2 linked regions of the Bombyx mori genome follow. The protein of the gene in region 2 purifies or fractionates together with the protein of the main gene of each other region. This does not show direct contact. Links are inferred from orthologs where the notes say so. Each region holds a gene or a part of one and is shown on either strand. Other genes may lie near its edges. The genes, in order: mRNA-decapping enzyme 1B and enhancer of mRNA-decapping protein 4.

Evidence for each region.
Region 1: the proteins of enhancer of mRNA-decapping protein 4 (region 2) and mRNA-decapping enzyme 1B purify together in Drosophila melanogaster (affinity purification with western blotting; 4 studies listed by BioGRID). This does not show direct contact. The link is inferred for Bombyx mori from reciprocal best matches to the Drosophila melanogaster genes Ge-1 and DCP1.

Annotation. Positions count from the first base shown.
Region 1 is NC_085114.1:2,052,256-2,056,190, reverse strand, and holds the start of mRNA-decapping enzyme 1B, read right to left. Parts: upstream 2,247-3,935; 5' UTR 1,628-2,246; coding exon 614-1,627; intron 539-613; coding exon 341-538; 3' UTR 1-340. Other genes in the region: trifunctional purine biosynthetic protein adenosine-3, read left to right, coding at 3,842-3,935.
Region 2 is NC_085110.1:1,251,810-1,255,684, forward strand, and holds the start of enhancer of mRNA-decapping protein 4, read left to right. Parts: upstream 1-776; 5' UTR 777-892; intron 893-1,095; 5' UTR 1,096-1,322; coding exon 1,323-1,372; intron 1,373-2,073; coding exon 2,074-2,279; intron 2,280-3,470; coding exon 3,471-3,577; intron 3,578-3,875. Other genes in the region: calcium channel flower, read right to left, coding at 430-550, 636-638. UniProt on the Drosophila melanogaster protein: In the process of mRNA degradation, seems to play a role in mRNA decapping. Required for silencing a subset of endogenous miRNA targets.

The sequences.
Region 1 (3,935 bases), on a different chromosome or scaffold from region 2:
GGATGTGTAAGAACAGTAACTGGATGTTGGATGAGTTTGATTTTACAGAACATCAAGCTGAAGCCAATTAGCTTGTAACTAAAAATATCACAAACATTTGTGTCATTAAAGACCTGACTGAATATCACTCATCTGGAGTCACTAAAATTCATCCACTATATAAAATTAAGTGACAACTGGTTTGCATATTTTTAAACTTATTTAAAATACTCTGTCCAAATGGTAAGTCACTAAAAAACAACAAGTTCTACACAACATTTTTAAAGAGATTATGCTTCATATTACAACTGTACATCATAATAATGGCTGGCAACATCAGCCACAGTCATAAAAGATTATCTTATGACACAGAAAATGCTTTTTCTGAAAACGATTTGACATAGGCTTCGTGAAGTTTATTCACAAAATCTGCATCATGTTTGAGTAAGTAATTAAAGGCCTGAAGGAGTTGATTCCTGGTGAGTGGCTGCGGTGATGGCTGGACATCACCACCTGAACTTGCAGTGAACATTGTGGGGGGCATCAGCGCCGGTTTCTGCTGAGTAGTTACAGAGTCAATCTTAGGATAAGAATGTCCAACATCCTCCACTTTGCTACCATAATAAGAACTTACCGTGTGTCCTATGTCTTGAGATTGATTCAAGTATGCAGCTAATGGCGATGTTGTCTTGGGAGAAGATAAGTGCATCAAATTGAGTTCATTCTCCATGGTGACTATTCCATTAGCATCACTACTATCCAGAGCTTTTTTCAATCCTGGTATCCTTTGATTTTGCTTCTCCAAAGGAGTTGACTTTAATGAGAACATACAATTTGGTTTGATACCAGAATCTAGTGTAGAATTACCATTTGAGCTTTGCCCTTCTTGAGGAGTAACAGATCGCTGTTGCTTCTCAATATGTTCTACTGAATGTGCAGGGTTACTCATGAGCCTCTGTAAAAGCTGTGGTACTTCTCTGGAATCAGTGGCACGCGGACCGAATATCCCTGGTGAGGGCAATGAAGACACTGCAGGCATTTGAGCCGATGCTCCACTCCCAGCCTTTGCAAAGAAATCCATTACACTTTGCGACGTCATGTCAGGCGCTTTGGCCGGCGTCGATTCGGATTTGTTTCCAGCAACACCTTTATTAGAATTGAAATCGTCTTGCGCTTTACTCAACATGCTGAAGATATCTATAGATTGAGTTGAAGTTGTAGACGAATTGTAAACTGAATTCTGTGGCATGGTTTCGCCTTGCGACTGTTTTATGGACTCTTTCACTAATGTGTTCAACTTCGTGGCCACTCGCACGCACTCGTCCTTATCATAAAACCATATACCGTAAATGCGGCACTTGGCGTTACGATATAGTAAAAACGGCTCCTTTAACTGTAGTTCAATTCCTTTAGACACTGGTTCTATTAGGTTGTTAGTGTTCAGCCTGTTCATAATCACTAAACTGTGGTATGGTTCACCATTTCTACTGTACACAAACAAAGCACCCTCAATGTTGGTTTTCTCCCATTCGTTCTCTTCAAATGTGTAAAGGGCAACGTGGGTAGCACTATCGACAATTTCACGAGCATATGGATCTGCCCGCTTTAATGCAGCGAAATTCATACTACGTAACCCGGTGTCAGCCATTTTTTATATTACTAATAATAAAATAGTTTTGATCAGCGAACAAGCATCACAGCAAAATGACAAGAACGAACAGTTTCGCCATTTTGGTTACGTTTTGAAATCTGGATGTATTTAATTATTTTTAATGATTCAGGTAGACTATTCGTACGCAAAAACTAGGAATTCTAGAATATAGAAAAATTAAAACTAGTATACATACATAATCAGGATGTACATATTTTATATTATGCAGGTAGCAAACAAAATATTTAATTCTATTAAAAATGTGGGTATTGTCTTAAATTTGTTGAAATAATACTTTTGCTTTGTTTTTTCTTTTAATTTACTCTTTGATACAAAACAAACCTAGTACAGTAACACCGGTCACTCACATGCGCACGAATACGCAAACCCGCAAGTGTAGGACGACATTTGCAAATGATTAAGCAAAGTTTTCGCTACATTCGTGGTTTTCCAAGCTGTGTCGGTTTTTTAACAGACATCAAAGCGCGCGAACCGCGAACCTTCGTGTAGTCTCCCACACATTCGTTTGCCCAGTTGCGCCGACGATTGCGAAGGTAACGGACGTATCGCCATTTTCATAGTTCGTGACGTCTACAGTGTAGCGTATCTTCATCAAAAGAAATCCCATAAAAAACAGCATGGCTGTTAATGATGTCTGGGAAAGAATTCAAAACTCTTTTTCTCTTCAATGTTCTATTGACGAATTAAAAAGGAAGAGAAATTCGTGAGACAATCGTAAACAAGTGTAGGAGGAAGCGCAAACGGGTTCGCGAATTGAGTACCGAACCCATTTGCACAGCTGCTAAGTTTGCGAATGAATGTTTGACGGCCCTTCACATGCGCACAAACATTCGTACAATGTACGAATATTTGCCTGCATGTGAGTGGCCGGCATAAGACCCTGCTTAACGCTGGTTTGCTTAAATTGTAGAATTTCCCAAAATTGCATACAGCGTTAAACTTTCCGAGATCTCAAATTGGTGCTGTGTAATTTGGCAACTTTAACATTAAGGACCTACACATAAGAGAAAAAATTGGAAATTTAGAAGAGATTGAATGACCTGAATTGTGAACATGCTGACTTAGAATTTTATTTATTTTTAAATATATATTCGTTATCACATTTCAATACTTGCAAGAAATAATTTATTTTATTGTTATGAAAAACATTTTTTTTTTTTATAACAACTAAGAGGCAAATGAGCAAGACGAGCAAACGAGAATTTAATGGTAAAATACCTGACCAATTTTCAGCCCATTTTCCCCCGACCTCATCATTTACATTATGAGATAGCATCTTTATTCTTTCATATTACGCTTTACTTTAATGGAACGTATACCCCGTGCTAATGGAATCAACACAAGCAACATATGTATGTATTGACCTAAGTCTAATAAAAATTTTACTGGTGGTAGGACCTCTTGTGAGTCCGCACGGGTAGGTACCACCGCCCTGCTTATTTCTGCCGGGAAGCAGTAATGCGTTTCGGTTTGAAGGGTGGGGCAGCCGTTGTAACTATATTGAGACCTTAGAACTTATATCTCAAGATGGGCGGCGAACTTATGTTGTTGAATATGCATAAACGATGTCTATCTGCCCCGTTAAGAACTTTACACCAGGTAGGAAACACCATGCCTTATCTTCAGATCCAAGGCTCAGACGTGAGGTTTTCAACGGCACGGGATTTTTGACGATTCAGCTTAAAAATTCTTATTTTAAAATGCTGTTAATTGTTCTATGAGTGAGAGTCTGACACGATTTAAAGAAGAACCATTATCGTTAAAGAGTTATTATTTGGTTGATGCTATCTAACATACATTATATGCCCCCATCAATAGGTCTATGGCCCCCATCAACATCAAAGTTCAAACGAAATGTCTATGGCCCCCATCAACATCAAAGTTCAAACGAAATGTCAAGTAAATGTCAATTTGTAGTGTCAATTTGTCAACGTCATTCGAAACTATGCGCGTGTCTGGTAAACAAGTGTGTTAGCTAAATGAACTAAATGTTCTTAATAAAAGAAATAAAAATAAAATTTGAAGTACCTAATATACGTCAAATTAGCGCTACAGTTCTTACCCTGAATATAATAAATGAATAACAAGCCTTTCCCATTGTAAGATACTATTATTTTGAAAAGCGAACACGTGAAAAATCTATTAAAAATTGGAAAAGTTTTCTTTAATTTGGTGTAATTTCTAAATAAAATGTCGGAAGCGAACGTTTTGGTAATAGGCGGAGGTGGTCGGGAACACGCTCTTTGCTGGAAGCTAGCGGATTCGCCTAATGTGAAAAAGATTT
Region 2 (3,875 bases):
TTATATCAATTCAGAGTATCATCAATAAACTTTTATTATTCATTATATGAATCATTACATTTTTTTTCTATAATCTAATTTCATCCAAGCATAATTTCAATTCATTTATCAGTTATAAGGAAAATAATAATAATTTGAAGCAAGGAAAACAGTATGATTTGAAAAACTGATCTATTATACTCAATTAAGAAATGGTATGTGAAAGTGTCGTAATTAAAAGTGTACTTGGTATTTGAGTTGGATTCTTCCATTATTATTATTGGTTGATTATTAGAATAAAAAATATACATATCTAAAATGTAGTGGACATAACATAATTCCATTTCAGTGTCTTTGTTAATTCTAATCTAAGCCTTGAGTTTAGTCATTTCGAAGATTTCATTGTGGTACTTTTTGAACTTGATCATAGTGACAAATAAGAATACTAACTGAAGCTGCCAACTGTTCCAAGACCCCGTCCAGCATATCGCATCCAAGTAGGAACGTCATCTTTCTGGGCATTGTCACCCCCCGGACGCGACATGAGCATCGATATCTTGTCCGTTAACGACTACAACATAAAAACAAGTCATAAGTTTACCTTTTGAAGATTTGTATAATAAATTTATAATTTATTTACGAATAAATATCCTCACCATTTTTGTGAAAATCAATTCAACCTGCCAATACCACCTGCGCTGTCAACGAAACCATAGATTATACACTTAATATATAACGAAACTGTTATCTCACACTCTGACACTGACAACATAGACTAATGCTGACAGTGACACAATGGAAGTGAATTATACAAAGCTCAAATAAACATTTGCATGTCCATTCGTGTGAGAAAATGAATTATAGCCGTTAGATGTGGCTTCTCGAGTTCTTTCAAAAGTCTACTGAAATTTCAGTGAGTCGCCATCCTTTTAATGCTACATTAATTCATTTTATCTCATTTCGTTTTACTCCATTGGGTTCATTCAAATACATTGCAACCTGATTACTGTTCCAGAAAATTCATTTCATTTCATTCTTCACACAACACAGTCTAACTTTATGTGTGTAAATAATAATATTATTCACAGTTAATACTAATAATAATGCTGTTCACAGTTAATCGAGAAGATAACAAGATAGGTAATAATTGAAGAAATGAAAGTGACAGTGATCCCTGGCAACACTGAAAACAATTGTCAATTCAACAATTTTTGCAATTTGTCAATGCACAGGTTCTGCGATTTGCGGTTTGCATTCTTCAAATCTGCATAATTTTTGCGATTACAGTATTAATTCAGTTTCTACTAAGGAATTCATGTGGAAAACTGAAAAATAGACGTAAAATGCAACCACCAACCATGTTACCTAAGCTTTCAGATACAACTCAGACGATGTGAGTAATCTAAAGTTGTAATGCTCTTATAATTTAATGCCTGCAGTATTGAAACAACGATGTTCTTGTATTTCATTAACTTTATAAGTATAAATGTCGATTACACACACAATTCACGTAATTATAACCTATAGCGGGATCGCGTCATGTTCTAAAATATTCTGGAAGTGTAAAAGTCGTCTCAGTCATTCTCTTAACATAGCTGGAGAGCATCTGATATTATTGGTTGATGAAACTCACATTTACTGAGTTCGGTTTAAAAGTGCAACTGACTGCAACTGCTTCCTCATCTGTTTCTATTGGACGCTACGGTGCCGCGATGCTATCGTCGCTGAATCTACAGCCCGTACCTTAATTTTGCTAACTATAGGTTTATTAATTTAATGCTAGTTACGAACATCAAACAATGAAAACAATACAAAATTCATCACTTCATAGTCAATAAAATATTTGAAAGTTTTGTAATTATTATCTTCAACTGGTATTCAATTAATATTAAATATGTATTATATATAATAATATAAATAATTAAGACCTATTTCTGGTGATACTACAGTGTCCTGGCTTCTTCAGGCTTACCTTGTTGATTGTGTAGCGGCACACCTATGTTGACAAAATAAAATTAAAATCTAAGAATAAAAATGTTTTAAATGAATATTGGCAAATCAAAGTTATAGAATCTATAACTTTAAATCTTCTAGAGCATTTGCTGAAGGAGATGGTATGAGCTGTATAGAAGTTTACTCTTCGGATGTGGTCGTGACTATCAACACCGGTAACCATGATCATGGTAGCTCAAAAGTGAAGTTGAAGAATCTTGTAGATTATAACTGGGAGCCCAAGTTTTATCCTGGGCAGCTTCTAGCCATTCACATCAGTGGAAAGTACCTGGCATACTCTATTAAAGGTAATTGCTTTGATCATGTTTGTTCTCCAGTAAAGCTTAGTTTTAAGATTACCAGATATTAATAGTCTGTGACATAATGTATTCTGTATTCCTGTTTACCTGGGGCATGTTCTGACATAACATGAATGTTTACATATTATGTAATTAATGTACTTAAATTTAATGAGTACCTTGATTGTGCAGTGTCTCTTTTGATTTGATATATCATAAAGAAGGACTAAGGAAAATAAGTAAGATTGGGTGGTAGCACTCTCTGAGTATCATACTAGCATGCTATGATCACCAACTGACATTTACTGATACAGCTTGTGGAGAACCTACAAAGATAACCAATGTCCTGCCTATTTCTGCCACAAATATATAATGAATAAGTCGCGTGTCTAGTTTTTTTTTTTTTTTTTTTTATTGCTTAGATGGGTGGACGAGCTCACAGCCCACGGGGTGTTAAGTGGTTACTGGAGCCCATGGACATCTACAACGTAAATGCGCCACCCACCTTGAGATATAAGTTCTAAGATCTCAGTATAGTTACAACGGCTGCCCCACCCTTCAAACCGAAACGCATTACTGCTTCACGGCAGAAATAGGCAGGGTGGTGGTACCTACCAGTACGGACTCACAAGAGGTCCTACCACCAGTGAAAAGCTCCCCTATAATACCACTTTTTTGATTATCAATCTGTCTGTTTGTTTAGTTTAGAAATGGCTAAAGCTATAATGATTATCAAACATTAATGTTACATGAATGAAGAATTTACCAATCTGTTATAATTGTACTATTTTTTTGTTTTTATTAAGAAATAATTTTTAATTACCAAATTATAATTTCATTTAATTTAAATTTCTTTCAACACAGTTTTGCTGTTTCTCAATTATTGTTGACCTCTTTTTATTCTTTAGAGGATCGTGTAGTATTTGTAAAACTGTAGATTGCACATGTAGGTTTACGACGAAAGGAAGATCTTTCACCCAGTGGGTGATATTGCAAAGTAGACAAACGATCCGAATGTTGTTGTTTGGAATTTGTATATATGCAAGCTTGTCTTGAATATGTCGTAAGCGAGGTACAGGCATCTGCAAAATATCTTGTGTTGTATGATGGCTACTGGCAGACCACACAGAACATTCAGGATTTTGTCCAGATTTTGTTTTTAAAAGCCAACTAATGTTTGGTTTTAAATTTTATTTACAGCTCCTAATACAGCTAACCCAGGTACTTGCAGTGGTATGGTTAGAGTTGTGTACAACCTTGAACCAGGAACTGATCGTCGTGCTCTCATCAAGGGAATGAAGGGGGAGGTACTTTTTCTAATTATCTTATTCTAGAATTGAATTTGAGGCAGCTTAGCAAATGGAGGGGAAGCGCGCTAGAGGAAGAGCGCCAGCTAGATGGGTGGATCAACTCAAGGAGGTGACTGGAGGCCAGATACAGGGAGTGGTACATATGGCGCAGAACCGAACCGAGTGGAGAAAATTGACATACAGTCATAATCCTCAGCATTGAGGGAACAACCAGAAAAGAAAAGAAAGCAACTTATTCTAAATGAAACGATTACTACATAAATTTGAAAGATAATGCAGGCTATTAAATTGCTCT